Linked DNA regions of Xenopus tropicalis. The protein of the gene in region 1 purifies or fractionates together with the protein of each later gene. This does not show direct contact. Links are inferred from orthologs where the notes say so. Each region holds a gene or a part of one and is shown on either strand. Other genes may lie near its edges.

Region 1 (4,003 bases):
GTCTCTACGTGTGTTTTAGCAGAGGCAGTTCTCAGTATTGTCTATGGCAGGGTATTATCTGGCGTTTAGTAGCTGTGACAAGTAGCTGCTACTAAGTAGCTCCGTGTGTCTTCATCCTTAAGGCGGCCATAGACACTAAGATCCGCTTGTTTGGTGACCTCGCCAAGCGAGCAGATCTTCTCCCGATATCCCCACCTACCTTGGCGATATCGGCCTAATTCAGTCGTTTGGCCCCAGGGCAAACCGATTGAATTAGAACAACTGGTATAGGCATCCATCGGTTTGGGGAACTAATCAACTATGCAGCCCCCAATCCGACAAAATCAAACCGATCAAGATCTGTTTTTTAGATTTCAGGCCAGATGTGGGTCGGGCAGGCCCGTTGTTAGTGCCCATACACAGGTTGGTAAGCTGCCGTATCGGTCTAAGGGACAGATATCGGCAGCTAGAATCGCCCGCATATGGCCACCTTTAGGCATTTTTATTCTGTATGATATGAGGGTGAAGACACAGGGAGCTACTTAGTAGCAACTATTTGCCGCTGCTACTAAAATTCAGAATATCCTCTGCCATAGACAATACTGAGATTCGCCTCTGGTAAGACACACGTAGTGACAATTATCAGTAAACGATCAGCATTAGTAGTTTCTGTAGCCATGACAAGTAGCTGCTACTAGTAACTCCCTAAGGGCAGTGGCACAAGGGGAGATTAGTCGCCTGTGATAAATCTTCGTTATTGCGGGCGACTAGTCTCCCCGACATGCCATCCCACTCTAAAGAATGTAAATGGCCGAGGGGATGCCATACGCGCCTCTTCAGTTTTCCAAAGTCGCCCAAAGTTTCCATGCAAGGCAACTTCAGAACGTCTCGGATGTGGTACATCCCAACAATTACCAGTATCATTCTCCCCAAAATACACCAACATCTTTATGTACTGTCTGCCTCCTTTTCCTCACACCCACTTGTGTGCTCTCCAGTCACCAGTGGGACCAGCCCATTCAAATTCTCACCAACAGCCCTGTGCCCCCCATCACTCCCACGCTCCCCAGCGGCACTGTGCCCCCCATCACTTCCCACGCTCCCCAGCGCCACTGTGCCCCCTCATCACTCCCACGCTCCCCAGCGCCACTGTGCCCCCCCATCACTCCCACGCTCCCCAGCGCCACTGTGCCCCTCATCACTCCCACGCTCCCCAGCGCCACTGTGCCCCCCCATCCACTCCCACGCTCCCAGCGCCACTGTGCCCCCCATCACTCCCACGCTCCCCAGCGCCACTGTGCCCCCCCATCACTCCCACGCTCCCCAGCGCCACTGTGCCCCCCATCACTCCCACGCTCCCCAGCGCCACTGTGCCCCCCCATCACTCCCACGCTCCCCAGCGCCACTGTGCCCCCCATCACTCCCACGCTCCCCAGCGCCACTGTGCCCCCCCCATCACTCCCACGCTCCCCAGCGCCACTGTGCCCCCCCATCACTCCCACGCTCCCCAGCGCCACTGTGCCCCCCATCACTCCCACGCTCCCCAGCGCCACTGTGCCCCATCACTCCACGCTCCCAGCGCCACTGTGCCCCCATCACTCCCACGCTCCCCAGCGCCACTGTGCCCCCCCATCACTCCCACGCTCCCCAGCGCCACTGTGCCCCCCCATCACTCCCACGCTCCCCAGCGCCACTGTGCCCCCCCCATCACTCCCACGCTCCCCAGCGCCACTGTGCCCCCCCATCACTCCCACGCTCCCAGCGCCACTGTGCCCCCCCATCACTCCCACGCTCCCCCAGCGCCACTGTGCCCCCATCACTCCCACGCTCCCCAGCGCCACTGGTGCCCCCCATCACTCCACGCTCCCAGCGCCACTGTGCCCCCCCCATCACTCCCACGCTCCCCAGCGCCACTGTGCCCCCATCACTCCCCAGCGCCACTGTGCCCCCCCCCATCACTTCCCACGCTCCCCAGCGCCACTGTGCCCCCATCACTCACACGCTCCCCAGCGCCACTGTGCCCCCCATCAGTCCCACGCTCCCCCAGCGGCCCTGTGCCCCACGTTCCCCCAGCTGCCCTGTGCCCCTCTCCTACCCCACACACTCCCCAGCTGCCCTGTGCCCCTCTCCTACCCCACACACTCCCCAGCTGCCCTGTGCCCCTCTCCTACCCCACACTCCCAGCTGCCCTAAACACAGCCCCCCAGGTCTCCCTGCTCTGCAGAACCCACCCCTTAGTGACCCCATTACCCGAATTAACACTGGCACCCCTGTGTGCCCCCCACTCTCGCACCCCGGCCCCCCCACTCACACATTAGTGCCCCACCGCCCAACCCCAGTGGCACCCACCCTCTCCCATCACTTTCCCAGTCCCAGTCACTTGTAGCCCATGAAACTTTCCCTCTATCCCCTCCTCCCACTCACTCGCCCTGTATCCTTCTCCCGGCGCCCTCCCCTCCCACACGGTACCTCTCCGCCACATCCCATCATGCCCCTCTCCCACCCTTGCCCACAACCCACCTCTCTTATTGCCCACTCTCCCCAGGCACCCCAATACCTTCTGCTCCTCGCTGCTATCAGGCCCCTTTGTCCCTTCTGTACCTCCCATTCCCCGCCCACTTCATTCAATAGATGCCCAGGCTCCCCCCGCCGGACACCAGCAGCATGAGAGGCAGCCGGACAAACGCCTTACCCGCCCCTTTCCTTACCTAACTTGCCCCCAAATCCTTCAGCCGTCTCTCTCCAACTATCACCGGGAACACCGGGTCGTTCCCGCCGCTACCTCGGCTCAATTTCTCTGCTCACCCCTCCCCCTTTCTTTTAGCTGCCTAGCACGCAGCGTGCGCGTTACGTCATTGCGTCGCCTGATAGACTGGAGTGGGGCTCTGAGCCGGGAGCGTTGCCATGGAGACATCAGGGGAAGGACAGACATGTTTGATAAGGGAACACCCCCACCCTCCCCACACACGCTCTCCTATGCCTTCTTCTTCCAGTAATATTCCGCGGCTTTTCCCACAAGAATATGCTGTACTTAGGCTATCATGTTGTCTTTATATTTGCTGTTGCTTGTAGTGGGCTCCAAAAAGGCCCTTATTATTTAGGAACATGAGTTTTTGCGTGGGGTGCAATAAAGATAAACGAGAAAATGATGAATAACACTGTGTAAGGCTTGTTAGAAATATAGTCAATCATGCACCCTATATTGTAAAATATAAGGACTTGTCACCAAGCAATTCAATGATATTATAATATTCTGGCCAGTAAAAATGATGCCAATGTTATTGACAGCAAAGTAAGATAAATATATAGAAAGCACAAGGGAAAGGTGGCCACCCTAATCATGTGACACAAATTACATCACTAAGAACCAATTCAAATTGATGACATCAGTAAGCACACCTTATAAAGGTATAATTTGCAGGATTTTCACGAGTCTTCTATAATATAGAAATCATATACCTCATGGCTGGGCCTGCAGATTGGATGGCCATAATTTGTGTAAATTACCCTTATTCAGATTGACAAACCAAAAATACTCAAGGGATGTTATATTGACCAATTAGTGGATTAAGATATACAAATTATGTCTTATATGACTTTTACTAGCAATTAGAATAATGGCACGCTTTTGTCTGAGATATACAAAGCAAGCGATTAGCCATTTTTTATAAGGATTTGGCTAACGGAGGTCATTGTGTCATTTCAGAATAGGTCACATGATCACAGCAACCATGTACCTGACATCAAAGGAAATTGAGTGTGAGATGATGAATTTGCTCCATCCCATCAACAGTGTCTAGTCGTTACAGATCTTTACAAAAAAAAGGAATATAACTCAGTACATCGCCAGAAAGGTCCATATTTAAGAGTGAAAACAGAGCGTTAGAGTTCCTTTCTGGTGCACTGTTGTAAACTATCATTTCAGTACCTAAGATGCAATTTGACTGGCTTCAGTTTATCTTTTGTGGGACTATGTGGTTCAATAAAAAGTAATCATGTGTTGCTTTATGTTTCATTGGTTTAA
Region 2 (3,500 bases), on another chromosome or scaffold:
TTTAGAAAGCCAACATTTATGCAGCTCTGTATCAAAACCTTTTGCCAAAGACCAGTTAGCTCTACTGCAGCCCCACTGTTTTTAATGTATCTGCTACATTAAACAAAACAAGTTAGTTGGTTTGGCACAATCTTTATTTTTTATTTTTTTTTGTTATAAATTATTATTGCCTTTTTCCAGAGCTGGGGTCCCCAACCTTTTTTGCCCTTAAGCCACATTTAAATGGATAAAAAAGTTGTGGAGCAGCACAAGAATGAATAATGTACCTGAGGGTACCAAATAAGGGCTGTGATTATTTGGTAGCCCCTATGTGGACTGGCAGCCTGCAGAAGACTGTCCAGTACACCTGGTTTTTATGCAATCAAAACTTTCCTCTGGGTCAATAATTCAATAATGAGCACCTTCTTTAGGCTATTGGGAGCAACATGTTGCTTCTGAGCCATTGGTTGGGGACCACTGCTCCAGAGCATAATCTTGAGGTGGTCACTTAAGTTTCCCATCAGATCGGGGACTACATTGGCTTGTTAATCCGACGGCCCATATACATATATAATAATTTGATTGTTTGGCCACCTTCACTGTGCTCACACAGAAATGATGGGCCCACATATATATCTAGTGAATGGACAGAGCTCTTTTATTTTGATATGCGTTATCTGTTAAAAATTAATTCTGATGAAATAGTTTTCCATTGATAATTTCAGCACAACCACCACACAGGCTTCCAGTTTAAAGCGAGTGAAGCAATTTGCTCACATCCCATAACTTTACAAATATATATATTTTTTCTTCTAGCCTTGGAGAACAGTATTACAAGGATGCCATGGAGCAGTGCCACAATTATAATGCTCGCCTGTGCGCTGAGCGCAGTGTCCGAATGCCTTTCTTAGACTCTCAAACAGGGGTGGCTCAAAGCAATTGCTACATTTGGATGGAGAAGAGACATCGTGGGCCAGGTAAAATATTATGTCCTGTAAGATTGTATAGCTTCTTAACCTGTCTGTTGCTGGCCCTGCATAGCATAGTGCTGCAAGATCCCTTTTGTACATTCCCATGTGTTTAAGAATTGACAGAAGTTGCAAGCCCCTGTTAATTATGCTTGCAACAAACTCAAGCAGATGGCCTTGATTTAAAATAATAACTGTGACACTTTTCGCAGAGCTGAAACTTAAATGATGACCATGAATGTACTGAGGACCTAGAATCCTTGCAATTCACAAGAAAAGTTTTTCAAGGGTCTTAATGTGTATATGGTTTAGACTTGAAAGTGCTCAGCCCTCAAAGGTATAACAGATTATGTGCTACTGAAAATGTACTTGTGTTATCAAACCATACTAATACCACAGAAATATATGGAATATTTTGAAGTTTATTATCTATGCCCAGGTAATTTCTTACCCTTGCCAGGATTTAGCATTTTAGATTTCAGGGCATTCTTCGGAAACCTACTCCAAACGTTGCTTTTTATGCTTGGACATTAATTTAAGTATCTATTCTGCAGGCACCAGGTTTCAAACCTTCTGTCCCTTAGTTACTAAGGCCCTTAATTAAAAATTGAAGTACTGGAAGTACTGGCTGTGTCATCAGTAAGGAAAGAGCATGTTCATGAGTTGGGCACAATGTCATCTTAGTTTGTGCCCATCTTTAAGTTTAATTTTAGGGGAGGGATACAGAAAAGGAAGAAAGAAGCCTACTTTTTGTATAGAAACACAACTGCAAAAGGAAGTTTTATCCCATACATTCTGTATAAATCCTCTATCAGATGTCTTTACAGAAAAGGGTTAAAGATATGCTGATTTTGATTATTGGTAATTTACTGAGGCTTTACTAAATGATTGCGTTTTTTTTATTCCTCCCCTCCCCCCCAAAAAAGCATTACCTATGTTTTGGTAAATTATTTTATTTTGGTTTTTAAGGTTCTGCACCAGGGCAACTTTATACATATCCATCTCGACGCTGGCGCAAAAAGAGAAGGGCACATCCCCCTGAAGATCCCAGGCTCTCTTTCCCATCTCTCAAACCAGGTAAAAGGGGGCAGGCTTTTCTGAGCCCAACATCACTGAAATCAAAACACTGCACTTAAGGGCTAGTGAGTTTTTTTTTCTTTTTGTCTTGTAAATACACTTTCCATACACAAAGCAAAAAAGGCATTTGTTGAGAATAGCAACACAGGGCCAGCCTGGAATATAGTTACAGTTCATTTTGTTAGTCATAGCCTTGTTGGCTTAAAACAAAGCGAAACAGCACACTTCTTCCACACCAATATTTTCAATTATTCAGTGCAAATTTCAACAGTAATCACGTGTTACAATATTTACCAAGTCCAAGTTTAGCCTTGTTTGCTTTACATAGCTAAACCTGCAGAATATTAATTGACTGTGCTAGAGGACATAGAAAATCAGTATAGTTCTTTGGTTCTTGTCAAGTAGCAGTAGGGCCTTGTTTCATGGCTTAATGGGAATTTCATTTTATTTTCATGTTTTGATATAATCGTGATGAACATTTTGGAACAAATATTTGTATACCTAATCTTTCATGAGATATATGAAAGAGGTGTCTGTAAAACAATTGGCAGGTCAAACCTTTGTTTTTTCCCCTTACATTGAAAATGTTAGGCAATAAAAAAGGCATTATTATATTTTGCAGACTTTAGATTTGTGGTAATTTTTAGTAAGAAAACCAACAGTCTTCCGATGTGTAAGATATATTTAGAGCAAATACAATTTCTTTTTAGAATAGCAGAACATTTATTAGACTATTTTCACTTTACCTCGACAATGGATGCACTATTAAAAAATGTTGAATGTGCATGATAAACAATGTCCATTGATTTTTGGTAATTTAGAGGAATCCAATGGAAAAAAGAATATATCTTTATCAAAACTTAAGGTTATTGTGCATTTCAGACCCCGAACAGATGTTAAAGAAAGAGGGCTTAATACCACCAGATGGCAGTAGCCTTGAAGCTCTTCTGCGTTCAGACCCCATTGAGAAGAGAATTATGCCAGACCCCCGGGATGATGACAGCCTTACGGAGTTCCCTCCTCTTTCCAGAAGCGCACGGAAGGTACAGGCCTACGGCGAGCGGCAGCGCTACGTAGCAAAAGGGATAATCACGGTAAAGACAGCGAGGCAGCATGAAGCCTGGGGGAATAGACAGCAGCATTAGTCTAATGTTCGCTATATCAGTTTCTGTGAGTTGCCTGTTTGGGAGGAAAACAGCATATGAATAATTTTCATTCTGCTTGCATAAACTAGTCTTTCTTGTTTGCTGATTTTTACTTACTAAATGATCCTTTACTAATGCTCATTGCACTGCTGTAAACATATCCTATGTGAAAACCTCCCCACAAAAGGTCACAATACAACTTGCTACGAAGTAGAGCAGGAAGGAGTATTCCGTAAATAATCACCTGAAGTTTTAGACTTACAGAAAGGGTTGTAATAATAATTTTCTCTTTTAAATATATACTGTGTGACATTTTCCTGTGATATTAGAT
Region 3 (3,500 bases), on another chromosome or scaffold:
CCATTCAAAGGAGAAAAGGCACATAGCAGATAACATATAAAACACTATTGTATTCTACAGAACTTATCTGTTATCTGCTATGTAACCTGTGCCTTTTCTCCTTTTTTCCGGTTTGAATGGCAGCCCCCATGGCTACACAGCAGCTTATTATATAAATTATAGTAGTGTTACTGTAGCAAACACACCAGTTTTACCAGTGCAGGGCAACAGTGCATTATATTTTTATTACTTTAAAGCTCTTTCATTTTTTGGTGTTACTGTTCCTTTAAGGTGGTAGTACACAGTCAGATTTTCTCATCCTCAAATGAAAGATCCTATTATTAAACAATCATTTGACCATAAGATATGCCACTTTAACTATAATCCATGCAGAAGCGTAAGCAGCACACCATAAGTCTGAGATGATGCCTGGGTGCTCGTGCGGTAATTGTAAATGTATTTCATACGAGTGACGGCACTCACAGGAACTTTATACACATGTCCATAATTAAAGAAAAAACTTTAGGTTTATTAGATCCAACGTTTCAGTCCCATACTGGGAATTTCACAGTTCCTGTGAGTGCCGTCACTCCTATGAAATCCACTTTAACTATAAGATATGCCATCAATGGAAAACATCCATGTCATTCTGTACATCCATAATGTGATATCAGTTTATGGTGAAAGCAGTATGTACAGGAAACAGAAAGTAATGTATATTTTGTAAAGAATTTCTAAAACGAAACATTTCCTGCAATGGCTTTGTTTATGAATTCAAATAGAGATGTACTTGCTATTGTTTTCCTCAGTAAAAAAGAAAAAATAAGTAGCAAACAGTGGCTTATGAACCATGAACAGTTTCCCAGTACATAAGAAAAAGAAGTCCTGATGATTAAAAATGTGCGCAGTGCTTGCAAGTATTCTTTTCTAAAATCTTTTTTACAAAGTGTTTTTCTAAAGCTTAAAGGAAATATTGCATATTTATTTTGTATTTACATGCACTGTCCAGCACACACAAGGGATGGAGTTATGAGGGGGTCAAGCTTCAAAAAGCCAATATTTGTTTTGCATGAAGCTGAAAAAACACATGTAAGCATAATTAGAGCTTTCTTTGACCAGACCGAAATGGAACTATAATTTTTACCTTTGAAACTTCTGGTACAAAAGGCACATGGTTTCATACTTTTTCTTTAACTTTGAAATTGCATTGTCAACTTTGTTACTGAGAACATCCATGTTGATATCCATTTCTCTCAAAAGTCGAAAACATCTACTAACACTAATATAAAAAAAGGAAAAAAAAACACATTAAAACTTTAGGATACATAAAAAGTGAATATTATATGACTATATCCATACCCACTTATACAGCAAAAGATTGCTGGTCAGAGGTCTTAGGCAATTACAGTTCACACATTAAAAATACTTAGCATATCTAAAAACTTACCTTAGCGTCAAAGTTTTTAACAGTTCTGTAAATGTAAACGTCATTTCCTCACAGTCCACAGAAGCAATATAAAGGCAAAGACCCAATAACTCTGTTTTCTTGGTGGCTTCTCTCTAATATGATAAAACAAAGTATGTTCTAGTTAGCATTTTTAGAGATTGCTTGGATTATCTTTTAAACAAAGCAGATAAATATTTTGAAATACAAATCAAAAAATTAGGTAACATAACTCAAAAGGGCTTTTATGAGCCCATAGGCAACTGACAAATTTTATTTTTAGCGGTTACTGGGATATTTAGTTTAAAACTATCAATGGGCATTCAGCTCAGCTGAGCTCTTAGACTGTAAGCTGTCTTGAGCAAGGTCCTCACTCGATTGTCTACTAAATATGTAATTGTAACAGTGCATTTATTCTGGTGAAATGTTTGTCTCTAGTAAATTGCACAGTTCATATTATTTATCTAGATTTCGGTGAGGTTTTTAATGATAGGGCGATTCAGAAACTGCAACCAACACACTAATGCTGTGAGTCCCTGACAGATTTTCCCTGCTGATTTCAGCATGAGGCACTACTGACACACAGCATGGATGGCTTGTTTGTAATAGGACAAAATGTTAGGTTTTAGCAAACTAATAAAGTATTTATATCTCAGACATAAAATAATTAAACCTGTTTGTAGGGTTGCCACATTTTATTGGCTGACGGTCTTGAAAGGGGGTGGAGCATGTGACGTATGGGGCAAAACAAATGTTTAGGGGTGGACCAGTGATGTATTTTTCAGATGGGCAGTATCTCTACTATGTTTTTTTGCTTCAGTCTAATGTAGTTCCTTATATTTGCATCCCCTTATTTGGTGCACAACACAATATTAAATTCATCCAAAGTTCAAAAACATATACCATACCAAAAGTCCTTTTAGCACAAAATTTCAGAATACAAAGAGCCGCATATGGCCTCCTGTCGGCAATCAATTTATTGCTGGTGGGAAGGTATTTCTGGGAGATTAGTCACCTGTGATAGTTGAGATTTAACCGTAAATGACTAATCTCCCTATGTGCCATAGCCCTAAAGGGATACTATAACAGCGAAGTGCACAATAAAAGACAAAAACTGAGCTGTAATCAACTGGGAGATCAAAAAGGCTGAGACACAAGAACTGAATAGGTGAGACAATAGCTGCCTGAAAGGACTTGCATTGTGCTTTGCTGGCTGTTTCTGAAAGTACTACATCATGCATAATGAACTGAGAAAGCTGACTACACACCATTATTTAAACAGAAAAAAAAAAATGTATTGGTCTGTGAAAAAAGGTATCTTATACCTGATCCCAACTAAGGTATAATGAATCCACATAGTAAGCAAAACAAACCTATTGAGTTTAATTAATACATAAATGATTTTGTAGTACGCAGAACCAAATTACAGAAAGATCCCTTATCTGGAACACCCCAGATCCTGAGCATTCTGGATAACAGGTCCCATACCTGTATTATAATCTACACCATAAAACTCTGGTATCCCTTTAAAAAAATTGAAAATCTTACCACCTAAAACCTGTTGAGATGCTAAAGGAGTCAGTGGGTAGTTTGGTTTCAACATTTAAGCAAATTTGCAGCTTGGGTAAATGACTAGGACAGACAGGTAACTTTCCAGCACTATTAAACCACCAGACAAATGTGTCCATAATTAGATGGATAGTCCAGTATTAAAGATGTTTAAATGTGTCAATATGTGCACCTATCACCCAAAAATTCTTCAGCATGACCCCATCAGAACTGGTGCAACAGACTGCCCAGATGTGCTACATGCAAAGCTAAATTACTGTCAAAAAAGATCTGTCATACAGATCATAAGCTTTCATTACTAGAAGTTAGATCTCATACACAATCATATTAATAATACTTACCATCATATAGCCGGAGGAAAATATTTTCTCATATGTCTTCCAAGCTTTATCTCTAACATTGTTAGAAATCTTCAAAGTTTCACACAAAACATTAAAGTCTGGATCTTGAAAATCAGGCCTGAAAGATGTAATAAGAATGTGTGTGAATGTAAGAGGGAACTCACATT

What was found.
Region 2: the proteins of smarca4 (region 1) and dpf2 purify together in Homo sapiens (affinity purification with mass spectrometry; 13 studies listed by BioGRID and IntAct, counting the BioPlex papers as one, with this or other methods). This does not show direct contact. The link is inferred for Xenopus tropicalis from reciprocal best matches to the Homo sapiens genes SMARCA4 and DPF2.
Region 3: the proteins of smarca4 (region 1) and rb1 purify together in Homo sapiens (affinity purification with western blotting; 7 studies listed by BioGRID, with this or other methods). This does not show direct contact. The link is inferred for Xenopus tropicalis from reciprocal best matches to the Homo sapiens genes SMARCA4 and RB1.

Annotation. Positions count from the first base shown.
Region 1 is NC_030679.2:138,912,839-138,916,841, reverse strand, and holds the start of smarca4 (transcription activator BRG1), read right to left. Parts: upstream 2,801-4,003; 5' UTR 2,688-2,800; intron 1-2,687. UniProt on the Homo sapiens protein: ATPase involved in transcriptional activation and repression of select genes by chromatin remodeling (alteration of DNA-nucleosome topology).
Region 2 is NC_030680.2:32,338,331-32,341,830, reverse strand, and holds part of dpf2 (zinc finger protein ubi-d4), read left to right. Parts: intron 1-795; coding exon 796-956; intron 957-1,916; coding exon 1,917-2,024; intron 2,025-2,906; coding exon 2,907-3,067; coding exon of another isoform or gene 3,068-3,118; intron 3,119-3,500. UniProt on the Homo sapiens protein: Plays an active role in transcriptional regulation by binding modified histones H3 and H4. Is a negative regulator of myeloid differentiation of hematopoietic progenitor cells. Might also have a role in the development and maturation of lymphoid cells.
Region 3 is NC_030678.2:134,932,316-134,935,815, reverse strand, and holds part of rb1 (retinoblastoma-associated protein), read right to left. Parts: intron 3,452-3,500; coding exon 3,334-3,451; intron 1,540-3,333; coding exon 1,427-1,539; intron 1,259-1,426; coding exon 1,124-1,258; intron 1-1,123. UniProt on the Homo sapiens protein: Tumor suppressor that is a key regulator of the G1/S transition of the cell cycle. The hypophosphorylated form binds transcription regulators of the E2F family, preventing transcription of E2F-responsive genes.